Linked DNA regions of Daphnia pulex. The protein of the gene in region 1 purifies or fractionates together with the protein of each later gene. This does not show direct contact. Links are inferred from orthologs where the notes say so. Each region holds a gene or a part of one and is shown on either strand. Other genes may lie near its edges.

Evidence for each region.
Region 2: the proteins of gem-associated protein 2-like (region 1) and U1 small nuclear ribonucleoprotein 70 kDa-like purify together in Homo sapiens (affinity purification with mass spectrometry; 5 studies listed by BioGRID and IntAct, counting the BioPlex papers as one, with this or other methods). This does not show direct contact. The link is inferred for Daphnia pulex from reciprocal best matches to the Homo sapiens genes GEMIN2 and SNRNP70.

Annotation. Positions count from the first base shown.
Region 1 is NC_060025.1:2,084,370-2,092,286, forward strand, and holds gem-associated protein 2-like, read left to right. Parts: upstream 1-4,067; 5' UTR 4,068-4,143; coding exon 4,144-4,247; intron 4,248-4,318; coding exon 4,319-4,403; intron 4,404-4,461; coding exon 4,462-4,617; intron 4,618-4,687; coding exon 4,688-4,798; intron 4,799-4,853; coding exon 4,854-5,132; 3' UTR 5,133-5,271; downstream 5,272-7,917. Other genes in the region: neurogenic locus notch homolog protein 3-like, read left to right, coding at 32-226, 343-569, 692-941, 1,008-1,162, 1,225-1,416; endoplasmic reticulum protein SC65-like, read right to left, coding at 2,219-2,544, 2,604-2,729, 2,799-3,123, 3,188-3,240, 3,305-3,665. UniProt on the Homo sapiens protein: The SMN complex catalyzes the assembly of small nuclear ribonucleoproteins (snRNPs), the building blocks of the spliceosome, and thereby plays an important role in the splicing of cellular pre-mRNAs.
Region 2 is NC_060026.1:6,141,064-6,145,087, forward strand, and holds the start of U1 small nuclear ribonucleoprotein 70 kDa-like, read right to left. Parts: upstream 2,801-4,024; 5' UTR 2,509-2,800; coding exon 2,365-2,508; intron 1,895-2,364; coding exon 1,777-1,894; intron 1,708-1,776; coding exon 1,643-1,707; intron 1,505-1,642; coding exon 1,442-1,504; intron 1,381-1,441; coding exon 1,299-1,380; intron 366-1,298; coding exon 285-365; intron 82-284; coding exon 1-81. UniProt on the Homo sapiens protein: Component of the spliceosomal U1 snRNP, which is essential for recognition of the pre-mRNA 5' splice-site and the subsequent assembly of the spliceosome. SNRNP70 binds to the loop I region of U1-snRNA.

The DNA.
Region 1 (7,917 bases):
CATCATGATGAAATTTGGCCGGTCAAAACAGAAAACACCGAATGCCCCAGCGATAAGGTCTGCCACAATTTCCGTTGCATCAATCCATGCTCGACCTCTTGCGGTGTCGACTCCGAATGTACCGTTCGCAATCACGTCACCGTTTGCCAGTGCCCCAAGGGATTCACCGGTGATCCATTCGTCTCCTGCACTCCATCATCCAGCTCCAATGTCGCTGGCCGCCAGAGTATGAATAACTTTCCATGACGTTACCTTTTTCTTTTGAAATTTAAAAAAGAAAATTTGGAATTGTCGTTAAACGAAACAAATAAATAATAAATAAATAATCGTTAAACCAAACAGGCAGCGATTATTGTACCCCTTCGCCGTGCGGAACCAACACCAAATGTCGTGTGGAGAACAACCGGGCTGTCTGCTCTTGTCAGGATGGATTCATGGGCAATCCTATCCAGGGATGTCGTCGTGAATGTGAAACCGACTTTGAATGCGACGCTAACCGAGCCTGCATGAACTTCCGTTGTCAAGATCCTTGCGGCACCTGCGGAACTTACGCCGACTGCAACGTCCGGGTAAGAAAATCAAAAAGAAATTTAACATTTTAAGTTTCTCTCTCGCATCAATCACCAAATTCCTCGCGCTCATGATTATGCAAATGATATGATTTTTCGATTTGTGTTGAAATTTCTTCCAGAACCATCGCGCAATCTGCTCTTGCCCGGCCAACTTCTTGGGCGATCCGTTCACCCGATGCTACCCCGAGTGCACGCAACACGAGGAGTGCCGAGCCACCCAAGCTTGCTTCAACCTCAAGTGTGTCGACCCTTGCACAGGCGCTTGCGGCATTGGCGCCGAGTGCCGTGTCGAGAGCCACAAGGCCATTTGCTCTTGCCCCAAGGGCCACACTGGACATCCATTCGACCGCTGCCGACCCTTCGACAAGAGTAAGAACAACGTAATCAAATCTCCCAAGGATCTTTTGCTAAAAAATACCCACCCGATATTTCTAGGCGATCTTTGTAACCCGAATCCTTGCGGCACCGATGCCGACTGCAAACCAGGCACGGACCGTCAAGGAAACGACAGGCCAGTTTGCTTCTGCCGCACCGGATATCTGGGAGATCCCCTCGTCGGTTGCCGAAAGGGCCAATGTATCGACCATGCCGTAAGGAAATCCGCTAAAATATTTTAAGAGAATGTTAGGACTAATTTTTAAAATGTGCCCAGGATTGTTCTGGCAATCAAGCTTGTTACGGTTACCAATGCGTTGATCCATGCACCAGCACTTCTTCATCCAGATCTTCCGTTTGCGGAATCGGAGCACGATGCGACGCACGAAACCACGGAGCCGTATGCTCATGTCCCGTCGGCCAGGACGGTGATCCTCTGGTTGAATGCCGTGCTTCCTTCAGGGGTTAAACAAAAGTTATTGCAAATTTTAGAAAAGAAAAACACACACACAAAAAAAAATCTTCCTTCTTCTTTCTCTGTCCCCACACATCCGGAGTTCTCTAGAACAGAATAAAAAAAAAAAAATTTACGAAGATGAAAAGTGAAACAATAAAGCAAACTCAGCAAACGCCTAGACGATGTTTTTCATCTCTCACGCTGTAAAAAAAAAGAATCGCTTTATTACTTGTCCAATTTTTCTTTACCTTTTGGCAGACCGGGAAGGGTGGGGCAACACGCCTTTTGTTTTAGGACAAAAACAACGGAAACTAATCGTAAGACAGATGTTGTTTTTTTTACTCCTTGTGTTTTTTTTATTCGGCTTTGTACCTAATTTAACGTGTCTCAAAACTGCTTATTTCCTGCGAATGGCATGATATTATACCTTTAATATTATACCTGAATGATTAACTCTGGCCTTTTTAAATACAACAAGAAAATTCGTTTTCTAAAATAAAATTTGTTTTTGATGATGTTGTATACTTATTATATCCGTGGCTGTATTCGTAGTAGAGACTCCAAACACAATCAAATGTTGATTCATATTATAAGGCAGATTTAAAGAACGAATTCTTTGGCACTGAAAGAATTTTAAAATTGAACAAATTTAAGGCACCACATGAATGGAAGTGATTGGTCAACTGGATTTCATATAAAAAAAGAGAAAACGTAGCTAACAGGTGAATACACCTAAAATTAATTAAAGAGATTGCCGTTGAGATAAAATGTTAGGAGACAATTAACAAGAAGCTGTCATGAAAAACCTGAAAAGTCATGTGCTATGGGGGATTTCATTGTCGCCGATGTTGTCGGTGGAAATGACTGCCAAGTCAGTACCGATAGGGATAACTGCCGGACCAGTGGCTTCTAAAATTTCGCCCTCGTCGAACTGGAAATTGTCCTCTATAAACTGAAGTAGGGCTTTCTCTCCTTGATCACGCTCGTAGTAGTTGACCGCTTCGGTTCTTGGAACGAACATGCCTTCGTGCACGTTTCCCAGCGTCATGTAATAGATCTTGTTTTCATTCATAGTCTCGTCATTAGGGAAAAATAGGAGATAGGAGGCAGCGGCCTGGCAAGCCTTTTCGATGTTGCCCACTGCAAGAAAACGAATGTTTTGATTTCTTATTTGTGATTGATTAAGAGAAACGTCTTACTTTTGAAATAGGCAAACTGCAAGTAATGGTAGTGACTGGGAAGGAGATCGTCATGTTTCTCGCCATTCAAGTTTCCCAGTTTGTTAGCACACTTTCGCTTACAGCGCAATGTGAAAGTGTAGTGATCTAAACAAATAATCAATCTCCATATTTATAGGTACCACTGAAACCTGCTTTGATGTTGTATAAACATACTTGAGATGCTGGAAATGAAATCAGGAAACCAGCCTTGATCAAAGGGACCCTCACAATGAGCTCTGCATTCTTCTTCTGCTTGCAAGTATTCTACCAAGGAAAGCTCCATGTTGGTTGTAGTTCTGTCATAGTCCTTCTTTTTGTAGGATTCACTGCCACGAATGTAGAATTCAACATAGGGTTTAGCTTCAAGGTTGATGACATAGTTGGGATCCACTTTCAATTCATTGATGAAAAATCTAAGATTTTCTTTCATCACAGTATGGTTTAAATTCATAGTTAAGAAAGTGTAGGCACAGGAAGCTGCCTTGATATTATCGTTGGTCTGAAATAATCCAAACACAAAAGTTTAAGTAAATAATAAAGAAAATGTGATGTAGGATACTAACCTTGAAGTAGCAAAGCTGAAGATAGTCATAAGGTTTCAAAGTGTCAAAATCATCTGTTTAAAATGTAAAAATTTTTAAAAACAGAAAACATATTTGATGAAGATAAGACTGTCTAACCTGCAACTTTACGGTCAACAATTTCTGCACGGTTCTTCAAAATATCTTTCTTGCATTTCAGTAAGCAAAGTGTCTTCTTTATCATCTTTTCCCATAATTTCATATCTTCCAACTGTGGAGACACCAACGGTTTGTCAAAAGATTCCTTGAGACATTCCAATCGACAGCCCACCACAGCATCTTTGTAAAAATGATAATCTTCAATGGCTTCGTTCATACGCGTGACGCACTCATCCCATTGCTCATTTAGATATGCTTCTACTGCCTGGCTGTAAAGAATATCGTACGAATTGGCAGGATCAGCTTTTGTAGCAGAGCAAAAGTAAACCAAGAGGGACAAAAAACAAGCTTTAAACAACATATTCTTACAATATATAATAAGGCTTGACAAAATAAAATAACATGGGCAGACTATGGAGCTATGGAGCAAGGGGAGGTTATCTTTGTGACTGCTCCACGTTAACAGTCAAGATGCCCTATGCAAAGAAGAGGGGTACATATATGCGTGAGAAAACATCTGTTAAAAACCTTAAACAAATTCTCGTGTTTCAATGTTTTGACTTAAAAGCAACATTGCCAATTATGAATAACGCAATCATGAAATTAATTAATCTTGAATTCTTTCAAATTTGAATTATATTTTTCAATTGCTGGTGGTTTTTTAACCGTGAATCGTGAGATGACAGGTAAGTGCAATAATTTAAATTTTTAAGTAAATAGAGCTGACAAATTAAAGTGATGTAGATGTCGCTTGCGTCTGAGCAAATAGTGGCGCAGAACCGCAGACGACAACTTAAACTTCAAAACAAACAACTGAAATCATTTGTGAAATTCCAGGCATGGATGAGTTCCTCCATAAAGCGCTTTACGTCGAGGAAACAGACGAGGATATCGATTTTGAGTCTGCGCCCAGTACAGGCCAAGAATACTTGAGAAGAGTTATGTAAGTCATGAAAACTTGTGTGTTAATAAATTGTATCACTATAAATTCATGCTGCCGGTTTATTTGGATAGAGTCGAATCGCGAAAATGCGAAGCGGTTGTAGTTGCCGATATGAAAGGAAAGAAGCTCAAAGCCCAAACTGTCAAATACACTACGGTAAGTTTCATTTTATTCAAATTTATTGATCTAGTCTGTCATTTCTGTGTAAATTCAGGACTCTGGCTGCCCACCTGCACCAGAAGTTTTCCTACCTTCAAAAGAATGGCAACAATTCCAAGTCTCTCAGTTTTCCTGCCTCAGGAGCCGCATGGCAAAACACTTGGCCAGGCTGAAAAAACAAGGAATTCAAATGAAACCGAATACAACCCTGGTAAGATCTTTGCTGTTGCAATGGCTTCCAGATAAATGAGTTTGGTCTTAATTATCCCTTCCAATTGTAGCCTGCTGGAGACAAAGAAAAGGAATGGTCAGTGTTGTGCTATGGTAACCCTGAGGATGAAAAGCCTTGTGGAACACCACCTATGCTCCCCATCATTTTATCCCTCAACCAGGTATATGAAAGTCACCTACTTCTCAGCATTCACACTATTATTTCTGTTGATGCAGTTTATGGTGGAGACTCTACTAGAGTACAACGTACAATGGCTGGAGGAGACGAATTTTACTCAGCAAAGGGGTCAGTGGCTCTACGCTCTACTTGCCAAATTGGAGAAACCTTTGAAACCCGAAATGTGTAGCCTCATCAGAACACTGGCACGTTTGTGTAGCACATTCCGAGTTCAATTAACCTCGGTCGACGACCCGCTGTTGGCCCAGCTCAATCTTTTCATATGTCTAGTCGGTCGTTACTTTGATCAAAGTGATTTAGCCGATCCGATGAAATGATTTAAACGCGAACAACGAACATTTCTGGTAACACATTTCCCGCATTGTATTTTTATTTTATTTTTCTTTTGCTCGCCATTTTGTAAGAAATAAAAAATGACTGATGGTAAATATAGTAAAGATCGTGGGTGAATAAGAACATGCATGTGGCTGATGGTATTACATTTAACACTTTTTTTGTTTTTTATTCGGGAGGGATAGGAAGAGGAGCTGAGTTGCATTCGTTTTTTTTTTCTCCCCCATTTTTCAGTGATGGCAAAAGTGGTGGGTGAAAATAAGAAGATTATAGCAGTTACATGTATAATAGCTGGAGGAAGAAAGAATTGAAGGGAAGGTCGGACAGAGATTTTAGAATTAGAATTTGCGTGTGTTTCTTCACAATTCCATTGATTCAACAGTATATAGAGATACGTTAGAAAAATTTGAACTTTCCCATCGATTGAACGAACCAACACAGGAAGGAAACGAAAAAGTGTAAGGAGAGGCGATGCCAATATATTTCTTATATATATTGTTTCTTTTTTATTCATTTTTTTGTTTTTTGTTTTGTTTTATTTACTGCATCCAATCTCCTCCGTTGTGTTCTCCTTCAGCAGATGAAACTGTCGCAAAAATTCAATATTATATCATGAAACATTTTTTCTTCTTTTTTAAATATTGAAAGTGTGAATGTGACATCTGGGATCGACGGCGGAGGAGAAACTCGACAAAGTAAAAACGGATCCGACAAAAAGGAAAAAAACAAAAAAACACGATGAAAAAAAGGGGGGATATAAGGATATGGCCAAATATACTTTGGATGGAGGGTAGAGGGGAGCATTGATTTTATGTGGGAGGGCAGACACTGGGGACAAGAGGTAGCAGCAGCAATAGCATAGATGGGCGGGCGTGGTGGTGAGGGCTGGTAAATAAAGAAAAAGAAATTTTCACGTCTTTTTTTCTTTTCTTCTTCTCATGTGAACGACACGCAGCAGTATATAAATGATGATGTTAAGACACAAACACACACACACACTCACATGTACAAATATATTTATTATTATATTTAAAATGAAATTTAAAACTCAAGTGAATTTATTTTCTTTTTAGTTTTTTTTTTATTTTGTGTGTATTTTTATTGCTTTTGACAGCCCGGAGTGTGTGTGTGTGTGTTGATGTATGTGTGTGTGTGATTAAATCTCTCCCTCATCTCTTATTATTACAACTTTTTTTTTTGCTCAATCATAAAAAAAGATCAAGCGGAAGAGCCGACCGTCTTTGATTATCTCCATGGAAGAATTTGTCCCGTCTAGTTAGAAAACCAAATTTCCCCCAAAAATCTTTCCTTATTTTGCATTCCTTCTTTCTTTACTTTCGTCTCTCAAAATGTCAAACATGGCGGTCGAGGGAGAACGTCGATCAAACACAGGCAAGTAGACATGTATATAGTGCACGTAAAGTACTGAAACAGTATAGTTATATAGTATAGAATAGTTAGAAATAGTAATCATCGTAGAATGATTGAAAAAACAAAAAAAAAAACGAAAAAATAAATGCCATAACACAAATCATTTATGACGAAGAAACCAACCAAATAAGAAAGAAGAGAGAAAAAAAAATCTTTAGGTGTGTCTGTGGTGGTGGTGGTGGTGGGGTAATTCAATCGAGAAATGTATCATTTGACAACCGATATATAAAAGAAAAGAGGGAAGAAGATACAAGTTTCAGCGGTATAGCACGGACACACATTAAGATAATAAATCAAATCATTATATATCAATAACACACACAACACCCCAGAGAAGGGGAAGAGAGAGAGAGATGTAATGTTGCGTGTAGGATTCTTTTTTTCTTTCTCAACTGGGGGATGGAGGATAGTAGACAACAGCAATGAAAGAAATAGAGAGAAAAGGAAAAAATTCGACAACACGAAGGGCGCAATATAATAACCGTATTTCGTTGTTTATGATTAATGACCGTGTGTGAATGCGTGTCTTGCATGGTAGGGTGTGTGTGTGTAGGTGTGTGCCTTTTTTTATTCGATAGTTATAAATTTTTGTTTTGTTTTCTTAAAATTTCGCGTGTTAGCTGCAATAATCCATCCACTCTTTTTTTTAAATTCATTTCGTAGTCGCTTCGATTACCCTACACACACACACACACACACAGAAACTCGGTGTCTTTTTCTTTTGCATAAGGCACAGGGCTCTAAGTAATCTAGAACCAAAAAAAAACATAACAAAAAATATGTTATCGTTTTTTTCTTAAGGGGGGAATTGTGTTGTTGTAGTCTATCCAATAATTTGATGAGGTTATTTGGGTAGATTTTAGTTTTCCCGTTCAAACACAGACGTGGGGGGGAAGAGAAAAAGAGACAATGAAGAGAAATTTCCCAACAAATCCAAATATATAGAATTAGAGGCAGTGAAAGAAAAAGAAATATATAAAAAAACATACACGAATTAAGGGCAGCAGCAATTTCAGCGAAAAATTAGGGCAGTCATTTTGTTTGTGGGGGTCGATGGGCTCAATATGTTTTGTTTGTTTTCTTTTAGTTTTGTTTCTCTCCAACACTGGAATATTTTTCCATTATTTTTCACATTTTTAATTCGCAGTGTAGAATTATTCAAAAGAAAAAAAAACCATCGAGAAATGCATCAAGGAAAAAAAATGTGGATATGGCGGCGGATTTGTCTCATTTGAATTTCCCCCCTCGAAAAAATTAAATTTCTCCAAATGTTATGCATTTAAATGGCTGCAGTCTGCTCCAATTTTAGCCAAAAAACGGGGTCAACAAAAGAATTGA
Region 2 (4,024 bases), on another chromosome or scaffold:
GTCCTGAATGTTTTACGTTTACATCTGGTCCTCCACGACGAGTCCCACCCAAGCCTCCACCCAAACGGCGAGGAAGCCAACCTGGAATGCAATAGTTTAGGTACTTAGAAACCATGGCGGCATGATTATAATATCTAACAAGAAGAAAAAAATTTTGTGCACTTATTTACACTGATTAATCAAAATAAAAAACCTATGGATTTTCAAAACAAATTTTAAAATTTGCCTTCGAAAAAAAGGGCAGCAAACTATAAACATAAAACTTATTTAATTAAAATAATTACCTTTGACAGTCCTTGCCCTTTCTACGTCTACAAGAACTCTGCGGCCGTCTATTTTCTTTCCGTCGGCGTGTTTGTACGCAGCTGGTATTTTAAAACAACAAACCAGTATTTCGGCGCCGTCGGCAAAACGAACAAATCGTAAATACGGGTAGTACAGCAGGCAGAGAAGACGAAAAATTCAGCGTGTATAACATGGAGAAGGAGAGTTCCAACAATTAGTATCACAAACCTAATATCACCTACCGAAGGATCTCCATTACCTACCCCTCCCAGCAATTTCGAAAAATATTTACCGTGAATTAACAAATAACGAAAAATGCAATGATTTCAAGTATGACCAATCATAACACTTGGAAAATGCATAAAAAACCAACGCCACGGCCGTTTACCAGATTACGGCTATGTTCACGTAACATCCAGATCTATTAATAAGCGATCAAATGTTGCCAATCACAGAAGCAGATCCATTCCCTCTTCAAGCTGTCCCCATCTTTACCTGTGAATCCTCTTAACGCGCAGCAGCACTCGAAGAATCTGATCGAATTGAAATGGCCCTAATTTTTAGTGGCGCTAGAAAGCCTAGTAACCGACTTACCAGGATACTTACTACCATCAAGGGGAAGGGAGGGTGAAAACGAAAAGATACTTTCTTTGAAGCTAATTTGAACCTGCAGTCGATTTCAAAGGGATTTTGGTTTAACTTTAACCAAACGAAACCTTACCAATTGACCATACAAACCTAGCATCAAGAGACAAAAAGCGACAAAGGCCACATGACCGTCCAAATAGTCGGAGGCCGCGACTGTGACCGGAAACGACAAAATGAAATATAGGAAAACTTTAAGGTACAAATCAATCACAGATTTTCCCCACCTCACCCCCACCCCTTTCATCATCATACAAATTGGTGGTGCGACGATTAATTGAACAGTGAAAGCTATCGCAGGCCTTACTAATTAGCCCACTACCCTCAGTTACCACACGACTTAGGTATAATAGAAAAGAAATACTTACAATGCATGTCTCGCTCATGTTCATACTCGATGAATGCATAACCGCGTGGCTTACTAGTCCTCTTGTCATGCACCAACACAATCTGTAACATTAAAAAGCGTGGTAAGCGTGTGATTAAATTTCACATGGTGCTTGTAAGTTACCTTCCGAACAACTCCGTACACTTCAAACTCCCTGCGCAATTTAGATTCCGAAGTATCAAAATTCTGAGAGAAAATGTTTCAAGAATTATCGTTTCATTCATGCGGATTACTAGTTATAACTTAGCACTCATTATTCATTAAGCTCGAAATAAAATAAAAGTGATGAGAAAAAAAAATTATAGTATGAGTATTGACACTTACAATGCGAGCAACGAACAGCGTTTTGAAGGGGTCCATGGTAGAAACACCATTACTGTGTGGATCCCCTATGAATGCCAGAGAAAAGGGAAATTGATAAAAGAAATTGTAGAAACACACCAAAAATTAGAACTTACACATTGCAATTTCCTGTTCAAGTTTATAGGCAACTTGTTCTGCCTTTTCGCGACGTTTTCTTTCGCGCCGTTCATCCCGTGTTTCTGCTCGCGTAGGAGGGGGTGTATCTTTAGGATCCTGTTAAGAATATAAAATGATATTAAAAATTTCGTTATGTTTGAAAGCTCAGTACTTAGTTCATCAGAATGCTTCTAGTATGCAATGTTTCGTTCCACATCTCTCATTTAAAACTTTGTGAAACAATGACTACTTTACACCCCTCAGACATATGCTAACATTAAATTGTCAACCTGATAAAAGGCTCAGCTGGAAACACTGTGCTTCCAGAAAATTAAGACACTTTCACAACATTTTCACAAAATATTTTGCATCTCACATGTCACACATGAAAACTTGGGATTCTCATCGACACATCTAGAGGAGAATGAATAAATGAACCAAAACTGTTCCATAAATTGGGATTGGGACCCGTGCATTAGTAAATTAAGACATACATTACTTCCCAAATCAATCAAATTAGATCAAATTGCAATACTTACCTTGACTACTATATCAATTTTTAATTTTTAATGGAATCAAATACTAACCTCAAACAGATTTGTATACTGCGCTATACCAATGTATGGCGTTCTTTTTTTTTCATGAGTCAATTTATCAGGTGGTGGTAAAAATGGAGGGGGATCGCGTGGCGCAAAAAGAGCCAAAAGATTTGGAGGCAAAAACTGCGTCATTTCACAAATATTTCAATGAGCATGGACCTTTCAAAAAGCTTCTCGGTCGAGCGTCTTAGCTGTCGGCCATTAGTCCATTACTGTCTATCTATTGCTCGGCAGGGCTGCCACTTTGGTCTTTGGTGGGATTTTCCCACTTTTGAAATTTTCAAGTTTTTAAAATTGAAAATACCCGTTTTAAAAAACGGGTATTGTGGGATGAGATGGGATTGAGATTTTAGGAAAAACAGCGGGATTTTGTAATTTCTAATTTATCTGACCAATTTCATAAATTTTTTTTGAGCCGTAAATAGGCTAGCAACAAAATATATATTTGGCAACTAGAAATAAAACTAAATTTAAAAAAGCAGACGAATCAATACCAGATCAGAATCAGACATATATAAAAGTAAATAGTCACTACAGTCAAAAACAGCGTTTTGGCCCCAACCAATTTGTATCAGTTTTTACTTTTTATATTGTTTTAAATATTATAATCGTAATACTAGACCCCCGGCCCTTTAGTTTGCTTGTTGCTTATTGCTTATTGGATTTTAATGGGTTTGGCGCTGATATTTTTCATTAAATTTCTTGAAAGTGGAGTCTAGTAAGTAGGTAGTAGGTAACTTATAACATTTAAATTAATGCTCTTTAAGGAAAAAAAACTATAAATACTACATAAAAATAGACATAATTAGGTTTCAAATGAGACTAAGGGGGAATTTCTACGTGCATTTTTGACAAGGTTTAATATATGGTAAACATATTTTATACGGTAAGATTTATTTCATTACTGCATCTCAAAAGATTCAAGTTGTACAGCATCTTTCAATTACATCCAAGTCCCAAATATTGGTAAATAAATAAATTAGTTCCTTTCTTTCTTACAAAGCCTTTTCGGCCTTTTCTTAAATACATTGCTGATGCGGTTAAGTTCGGTTAATGTTATTGTGGTTTTCAAAAATCAGCTTGGATTTCAACTTCTACTTGCAGACAAACCAAAACAAAGTAAAAAAAAACTGTTCGATATTATTTGGCCTCTTGATGGCGTAGAATTCAATTATTGAATTAATTGAAATTAATGGTTTCTTAGGATTAGGAATGTCTTTAATCTTGATGTATTTATCGTCTGAAAGTTGAGACGGTGTCTCTAGCTCTCTACTTTAAGACCATAACAAAATTTTACTTTAGTTAGCTAAATTTTTTGCGCCAAAAAACTCATACTGTTTCGTCCTTCATGCTTAACTCAGCTTAAGGATAGGCCTTTTTATCGTTAGCACATGCAAAAAAATAAACAAACAAAACGCGGCAAAGTCTGATACACACGACATGATTCTGAATCGAGTTTCCATCATCACGTGACCGCAAGCACTCCGCCGGTCCGCCCACAAAAATAAACCCAAAAATGGAACCATACAATCTGTGAACATGTTTCCATAGTTCTACTAAGGCAGATTGCCCGAGATACCTAGATGGGAAAACCTCCTAAACTGAATAATTTGGATATATTATCCACAATTCCGCTACACCAAAACGC